Sus scrofa: one gene and its partner. The protein of the gene in region 1 purifies or fractionates together with the protein of each later gene. This does not show direct contact. Links are inferred from orthologs where the notes say so. Each region holds a gene or a part of one and is shown in the gene's direction. Other genes may lie near its edges. The genes, in order: HNRNPR and SNRNP70.

What was found.
Region 2: the proteins of HNRNPR (region 1) and SNRNP70 purify together in Homo sapiens (affinity purification with mass spectrometry; 3 studies listed by BioGRID and IntAct, with this or other methods). This does not show direct contact. The link is inferred for Sus scrofa from reciprocal best matches to the Homo sapiens genes HNRNPR and SNRNP70.

Annotation. Positions count from the first base shown.
Region 1 is NC_010448.4:81,236,456-81,240,941, reverse strand, and holds the start of HNRNPR (heterogeneous nuclear ribonucleoprotein R), read left to right. Parts: upstream 1-1,525; 5' UTR 1,526-1,679; intron 1,680-1,795; exon of another isoform or gene 1,796-2,220; intron 2,221-4,486. UniProt on the Homo sapiens protein: Component of ribonucleosomes, which are complexes of at least 20 other different heterogeneous nuclear ribonucleoproteins (hnRNP). hnRNP play an important role in processing of precursor mRNA in the nucleus.
Region 2 is NC_010448.4:54,294,828-54,298,628, forward strand, and holds part of SNRNP70 (U1 small nuclear ribonucleoprotein 70 kDa), read left to right. Parts: intron 1-914; coding exon 915-979; intron 980-1,121; coding exon 1,122-1,184; intron 1,185-1,887; coding exon 1,888-1,969; intron 1,970-3,801. UniProt on the Homo sapiens protein: Component of the spliceosomal U1 snRNP, which is essential for recognition of the pre-mRNA 5' splice-site and the subsequent assembly of the spliceosome. SNRNP70 binds to the loop I region of U1-snRNA.

The DNA of each region.
Region 1 (4,486 bases):
TTGCGGGTTCAATCTCTGGCCTCACTCAGTGGGTTAAGGATCTGGCGTTACCATGAGCTGTGGTGTAGGCTGCAGACGTGGCTCAGATATGGCGTTGCTGTGGCTGTGGTGTAGGCCGACGGCTACAACTCTGATTGGACCCCTAGCATGGGAAGCTCCATATGCCGCGGGAAGTGGCCCTAGAAAAGGCAAAAAAGACAAAAAATAAACAAACCCTAAGAGGTCCATAGCTTATACCAGACTGTTGAATGGCACAAAACAGATTAAGAACCCTTGAGTTAGAGGGAGATTTATCTGAAGCTAATAAAGTTTAAGCTTCAAAGTCCCTTTACCATGCTCTTCCAAGACACTTCTAAATTTGTACTCATCATTTAAGATATTTTTAAGGATCCCATCATTTGTATAAGTCTCACACCCCTCAACACAAAAGTTGGATCCACCGTGATGTTTAGCTCAGTACTGGGCACATAGGTTTTGAGTAAATAATTTTTGGTTGATAGCTTCTGGAAAATCTAATGGTCCTCGAAGTGTATATGGAAGTCTTGCGGAACACTGCTTGACTTCCTCCACTCCGGCGCGGAGGGGAAGGGTGGGGTGTTGGAAGTTGAGGTAGGGAAGGAAGGGATGTGGGATTAGAGGTTTGGATTAAGGCGAGGACGAGGAACAAACCAGTAGGTGTGGAGGGTGAGAAATGTTTCAGAATAACGGAAATTAGTCTCCTTTGGGAATTAGCTCTTTTCCTGGCACGGCTCTTTGGGGTTCGTGATGTATACGTCTGTCCTGCTTTCTGAATATTAATTAGCGTCAAACCCCGCGAAGAAAGGTCCCTGCTCTGTCATTTGTACTTAACTGCTTCTGAGTAATGCCCACTTTAGCGATTTCTCCCACATTCTGATCTGCTCCCAAGGATGTGTGGAAGGCAGCCGAGGAAGCCGTTTTCTGAGCGTTCCAAGGGATGATTTTCTACACGAAAAGATTCTCGGAAAAAAACGGGCGAGCCAAATCCTTAGATCGTGCTCTAATTAAAGTCCCAAAGACGACCTAGAGGAAGGCCGGACCGCGTGGCGGTGGGCGTGTCTGGGGCGAACGCCCGCGGCGGCCGCGGCGGCGGCACGCGGGGGAATCACCAGCGCTGCGGCAGCGGCGAAGCGGCGGGAAGGCCGCGGCCCGCCAGGGCCGGCGCGGACGGCAGGGGGCGGGATTCCGGAGGCGGCCACGCGGCGCGAGGCCTACTTTTTCGGCTTCGCGTCTGCAGCAGACGAGGAGGGCGGGGCCTCGGCCACCCTGGGCCCGGTGCCCCGCAGCCTCGCCTCCACCCGGGGCTTCACGATAGACCCCTTTGTGTTCCTACCCCCGCCCCGGAGGCGCCCCAGCCGGCGGCGCTGAGTTCCCTCATTGGCTCAGCCTACGGCTTCATCGATTGGCTCCCGAGCGTCCGGAGTAGTGAGCCTCTTCTCACTACTATTGGTCCTCTGAGCTGTCCCTTAGGCTGCCGCGCGAGGTGATTGCCCGGCCGCTCCGAGTCCCTGGAAGCAGTTCCGGGAAACCCCGCGTGCTGCCGGGATCGCGTCTCGGTCCATGAGGGGGGGAGGGGGTGGCGCGCGCGCCATTTCTAGTCGTTTTCAAAGCGCCTCGCGCTGATTCTCACGGGCCCGGCCGCCGGCCCCAGATCTGTCCTGGTGAGTCTCGCGCCGGCCCGCGGGGGGAGGGGCCGGGAGCCCCGATCCGACCCTAGTGGGCCTGGCCGGGGCTCCGCACCGCGTCCCGTTTGGTTTTCTCCGAGGCCCCGGGGTGGGGGTGGGGATGGGCTGGGGGCGGCTTTGGCCTCTCCCGCCGCACCGCTGAGGGCCTAGCCCCGCTGAGGCGCCTCCTCACCCTCGCTCATCCTCCCCCCGCCCCTCCAACCCCTAGCCCTCGGTCCGGCCCACCGGGCGCCCTTCGCGCGGCCTGCCGGGTCGGTCGCGCTTTTCCCGCCTCCGCCTGTCGCTCCTCGCGGCCGGGTTGGGCCGGGCCGGACCAGCGGCCTGAGGCGTCCACGGCACCATCGCCTTTCCCCGTCGGAGCCTCCAAGCTCCTGTCTCAGTCGGCCTAGCTATGAGTGGGATGTGTTGATGCTTGGGACAGGCATGAGTGGGGGTGGGTGGGCAGAGGGCGGGATGCAAACCCCGAGTGACCTGAGCCGGGAGAAAACTTTTGTGCGAAGCAGAGGCCGAAAGGCGGGTATGTGTAGAAAGCCTCCTTCCCCTCCCCCATTCTGCATGCTGCGAGTCGAGATTTGAAGGAAAAAATGACTATTAGAGGCCATGAAACTTAGGCTTCGAGCGGCGTCTGAGATACATAATTCCAGGAATGTCACAGGCGCACTAAATTGGAAAGGCGATTCTTTTTTTTCTATGGTAGAAGCCGTATTGCCAGAATTTAAAACTTGAAGCCCTGGGGTTCTTGAAGGGTTCAGTCCTTTTACGCTACCTGTTTGAGATTTTTGCTGTCCTCTGGAGGCTGAATTTATGTCTCATGAGTCAGTCGTAGGATAAGGGCTTGACACTCCTAAGCCGAGTTAACCGTTAGTTTTCATTTCGTTGGTTCTTTAAAAGCCAGTCTCTTAAATGTGAAGAGTTTTCACGAGATGTTCAGAAAAAGTCAGGGAGAGGCTAGTGTCAGACTTCCCCAATGTCCCAGCAGCCCTTATTTAAATTTCTACTTTTTGCAAAACAGTGTAGATCAAATGACTTTAGTCACATTAGTATATTTGCTGCATCCAGAAATATGGTTTGGCTGTGTGGCATTGTATTGACACAAAACAAGAGTTTTAAATGGTCTCATAATGACATAAAAATCTTTTTAAAAATGAGCACATTGTATTTGGCTTGGAGAGAGGTTTTCCTTGACATGAAAGGTTTTATTTTCTGGACTCTAATAGCTGTACTTTTTTTTTTTTTTTTTTTTTTTTTTTTTAAGGTTACAGACTTTTTGAAATTTTCAACCAGTTTCAGAATCACCTTGTAGAGAGCCTTTGCAGTGAATGGTAGACATAAATATTTGTCTTGCGATTAATACACAACTTGTCTTTTTGCTTTACACATACTTAAAAGAAAAAATACCACCTTAACAGATGTTTATTGAACTTTTCTGTTAAAAATTTGCTTTCTTTCCGTGACTAATAGAATTCTCAGATGCAATACTGCAAGGGTTTGTGTTACCGAGAACTTTTGAGTTCTGATGATCTTATGCTCGTATGGGGGGGGAACAACTGTATGTTCATAAAGAGATTTTGGACTTTAGGATGCATCTTTGTAGAAGTAGGTTGTATTAATCAGTAAACGATTTATCTTACACTGTAAGTAGCTTCTTGATCAAAAGTGTGCCAGTTTTGAATGTTTTTGCCAGTCCATCAGAATTTGGGGCTTGTCTTGAGAGACATTTATCTACCCAGAATTTAACCGTGGAGTCTGCATCTGTATAGACATTATTGGGTTACTAAGTCTTAATGATGTTTTGTAATCATAATAAGTCATGATATTTATCTCATTTTCAGAGGGACCCTTTCTGCATTTTCCTCTCTTCCTACTCAGTCTCTTCTTCCCTTTTTCATTAACTTCAACTAAATATCAGTGGACTTTGAAATGAAGTTGTTTTAATTAAGAAGAATGCACTTGGTGTGCATTTGCATAGTGTTTTGATAAGCAGTCTGGAAGTGTGGTTACCTTATGTATGAGTTTTACTGCTTTTCAGGAAACTTGTATTTTCTTTATAGCTGGTATTTTGAGTTTCATCAAGTAGGCTTTTCCTTTGAGATCCACCTTCATGTCCTTAATTTCAGTATTTGTTGCAGTGTCTTTATTCTGCTTATTCATCACATTATAATTTCACCACGGACAAATGCACTTTAATTCCCTTTTGAGGAGGCAGTATAGAGACTGGCCTTGTTTTGGTTTTATTATTTAATCTCTCTGTCAGGGTGTTGGTCCATTTCAGCATTACATACAGGTTGAACACCCAGAATGATTTGGGTAGGTTAATCTGAGACATCTGACCTAAGTTTATTCTCATTAGGTAATGTTTGTTGAAACTATGTGGAAGACATTAGTTGTCTGTTCTCAAATACGTTTTTCAGTTTTATTTTACTGATACAAAAAATTCAGTATATACTCATGACTTTTTTTTTTTAAAGAAGCAGCCTTAACTCTAGCTCACTTTTTATTTTATGTGGACTTAAAACAATCATTTAGCTTTTAAACCTGGTCATTTTTTCTTTTAAATCTGTGAATGGGAGTAGCAAACTAATTTTAGAACAAAAATTAATGTCAAGTTGTGTTTTTTGTTTTAAGTGAGGTGGAGAAAACCCAAACCACCAGCAGGTTGAACTAGAGACAACAGGGCATTTATTTCACACCTATCTTGGATTTGAAGCAGAGCTAGGAAAACTTGAAAGTCCTTGAACATTGATTAAGTGGTCTGTGGGTGTTCATTCTGTTTTTAAACCAAA
Region 2 (3,801 bases), about 27 Mb from region 1:
TTGCCCCTCTCCCATGCCTCAGGGGTTGGTGTTACTTCCTTTTGCAAAACGGTGGTAAGTAACTCTGTGTCGAGCAGGACTGGCCCACCGTGTGTTCTGGAGATGATCGCACGCCTCCTTGCCTCCCGTTCTCCTCGGAGGTGGCAGGTTCTTCTGCGGGCGGCACTGTGTTGTAGAAGAACCGTCTCTGCTACGCAGTGGGCAGGGTGCCTTGGGGCTCTGGTGGGAATCAAGGGCCATCGTGTGTACTGGGCCACCATGCTTGGCAAAGAGGACTTCTTCACAGGCCTGAGCCATCGGAGTCTGCTGTGGGAATTGCTTTTGAGATAGATCCTGGCTTCTGTCTGTGGCGGTGGAGTTCTTCAGTGGCCTGGTGGTAGTAAGGCTGGGCCTGAGAATCTGGTCAGCCGCTTCTGAACTCCAGCACCAGCCCTGAGTTCCTCCCTGATGCCCCGTGGCCTCGGGAGGAAGAAAGCAGGGCTCGGACTCCAGTAGGCTCCCCCTCTTGGGCTTGGGGTGGCTTCAGCTCCGGTTTCCCTGCGGGCTGTAGTTGCAGGCCCTGCCAGGGAGTGGCGTGGCGGCCCTGCGGGTGAGGGGGGACGCTCTGTACCGAGAAGGATCGGGCTGTTTCTCTGGAGATGCCCCTTTGGGCTTAGGTACACCTGGAAGGGACCTGGGCCTCAGGTCTGAAAGAGGCTGGCCCCAGCCTGTCAGCTTGAAGTCAGTCTTCTCCCCGCCCTCCAGCCGAAGTCGGCCACTCGGATAAAAGCTGTTGTGCTTTAGGGACACGGCTCAGAGAGGGACATGCCAAGGTCGCCAGGGGACCATGAATTCTGGCCCTCTGCCCGTATCTGTCTTGCTCTGTGAGTCCATCAGCACTTCCTCCTTACAGATTTCTTGCTTTTCCCGCACAGGGGACCCGCACAATGATCCCAATGCTCAGGGCGATGCCTTCAAGACTCTCTTTGTGGCCAGAGTGGTGAGTCCCCAGCTCCCGAACCCTGAGCCCCAGAAGAGCCTGGCACCCTGGGCTGCTGGGGGCTTGGCTGTGGACAGGAGGCTCTGTCTCAGGAATGTTCTGAGGGCTGCTCCCGGTTAACTTCACCCCTGTCTCCTCGTAGAACTATGACACAACAGAGTCCAAGCTCCGCAGAGAGTTTGAGGTGTATGGACCCATCAAGAGGGTGAGTGGCCTGGGGCGGCGGATTTTGAGTGGCAGGTGTGTTGGGGGAGGGAGAAGCCTGGCTTGCCGCCCCGAGGACACCGCAGGTCATTTCTGGGGTTCGGAGTCAGCAGCCTGGGTCCGGCCTACCCTGCGTGCGTGACTTGGGATATAGGCAGTGACGACTTGGTGCCGATTCAGAGCAGAGGTGGGCAGGCTCCAGACTTGGTGTTTGCAAGTCCAGTTTCCTTGCTGCTGAGCTGGGCGCGCTCGTTTCCGCGCGTTCGCGGCTGCTGTTGCTGCGAGGGAGGGGCGAGCAGGCGCGGCACAGACTGGCCCTCGGAGCTGGGAGTCACTCCTGTCAGGCCCTTGAAGGAAGACGATGCCGACTCTTGTTGGAGACCAAGGCTTTGTGTTTAACTGACATGCTTTCATTTAATTTAAAAGTCACTTCAGTGCTCTGGCCTTGAGGTCACGCTGCACGGGAAGTGCTGCACCCAGGGCCCTTAGCGCATCTGTCCCTCTGGGTGGGTTTTTTGTTTTTTTGTTTTCCCTTAAAACCGCTGTGTCCATGACCGGGAGCTCCGGTCACTCTGGGTCCTTGAAGGGACAGAGGGGGCATCTGAGCATCTGTTGCTGGCACCACCCGACCCAGGGCCTAGCCCCCGGGCCATGCGAGTGGTGGGAGTGCTTGCCTGTGTCAACTCACCTGCTCCCCCCCACAGATACACATGGTCTACAGCAAGCGGTCAGGGAAGCCCCGGGGCTACGCCTTCATCGAGTACGAACACGAGCGAGACATGCACTGTGAGTACCTCCGCCTGCGCCCTCCCTCTGGCCCGCTCTCTTCTCTGCTGCCCCGGCCCCTCCCCGCCGTCTGGCCCACCCCCACCCCGCCAAACCTGACCTCAGCCGTGTCTCTTCTCCTCCTCCCTCTGTTTCTGATATATCTTCTTTTTTTTATATACGTGTTTTTTTAAAAAACCAAAAACCAAAATCCCCCACAACGTGTGTGTGTGTGTGTGTGAACCCGGGGAGGTAAGTGTCACACGTTGAACCTCAGGGGCAAGCAGGGAACGGGTGGGGGCTGGGGCCAGCTGGAGGCAGGGGGAGGGGTCGGATTTTCGGGGATCCTCTCCCCATCCCCCCCCCACAGAGCTGGGGCGGCCAGGTTGGAATGAGGACTGGCCTTTGAACCTGCCCTCTCTTCCCCCCAGCTGGGCTGGGGCTGGACCACCCGACCCTCCGCCTCCCTGCCCCGGCCCCGGCCCTGTTCCTCAGCGGGCAGTGGGCTGGTGGGCGTGCTTGGCGCCTGCCCCCCCTTCTCCAGAGCCCCCTTTGAGGCTGCGGCGGCGTCCACATGGGCAGGGCTGGGTGGGTGGGGGCGGGCAGGGCTGCGGCGTGTCCAGGGGCCGCCGTATTAATTGACTGTTCTTATTGTCACTGCAGCCACCACGCAGCTGGCTTGCAGCTGATGCTTACGCTCCCCTTACAACACCTCAGTGTATGGTTGGTATAAGGGTTTGTATCATGGGTAAGCTCACTCAGCACCGCACACCAGCCCAGCTTAGCCAGGCAGCTCAGGAGCAGCGAGGCGCCCCTCCCTCCCCCCAGCTGCCCCTCAGCCGCCCCGCACCCCAAGCCCTTTCCTCGTTGGGGTGCCCTTTGTCACTTCTGTCCCCATCCAGACGCTCTCTGGTAGTCTTGCCGGTCCCAGGAGGGGAAAGATGAACTCTGACGGGAGAGGCAGTGGCCTCTCCACGTGGGCTCCGTCACCCCAGTCCCCCTGAGGCATCTGGCTTCACAGCGTCCACGGCGAGGCGGCGGGAACACCGAAGAGGGGCTGCGCTAGGGCCCGGGCTCCTGGTGGAACCCGGCCGGCCTTCGCTCCCTCCCCCTGCCCTCTGCGGGCCACCAATGTGGTGGCCCCAGAGCGTCTTTTTGGCTGCTGGGTTCAGGGTGCTCTGCCCCCTTCCAGTCTCCCTTGTCATGGCCGAGGCTTCCTCCTGAGGGGCCGTGGGGCCGTGGGGCCGTGGAGCCCAGCCGCTCTCCAGAGTGCATGGAACTGGGGCCGGGGGTGCGGGAGGGCCCAGGCACCAGGCCACGAACCACTGAAGGTATTGGAACACAGCTAAGGCCCCTCCACCGTCGAGAGACCTGAGAGAGGGAGAGCGAGAGAAGCCTAGATACACACAGCACGTGTTTTCTTTACTGTTACTCCCGGGTTGGGCCTCGTCTGGGGTTTGGGACTCCGAACCAAGAGCAGGGCTCCTTTGCTTGACTGGGTTCCCAGTCCCTAAACGCCTTCCCCTGCTCCCCTCCTCTGGGCGCAGGGGCCGCGCGGCCCCTCCTCGGATCGCGGACAGCGCTCCGTCTCCTGGACCCCCAGGGCTGTCTGCTGCAGGCCAGCCTTTGGGCTGAAGCAGGTGGTGGGAGGGAGTGCGGAGCTCGAGGCGGAAGAGGCCTTCCGTGTGCCGGGCGGGGGCGTGTGCCTAGTGTAGCTCGGACTTTGCTGGGAGAAAGGGAAGGTGCACAGGTTCGTAAGGCCTCCCTGGCCTTCTTTTTAAATTCCAACAAGATAGGCCTTTGGCTTTACAGCTCCCAAGCTTGGCGTGAGTCCTCGTGTCCCCCTTTCAAGG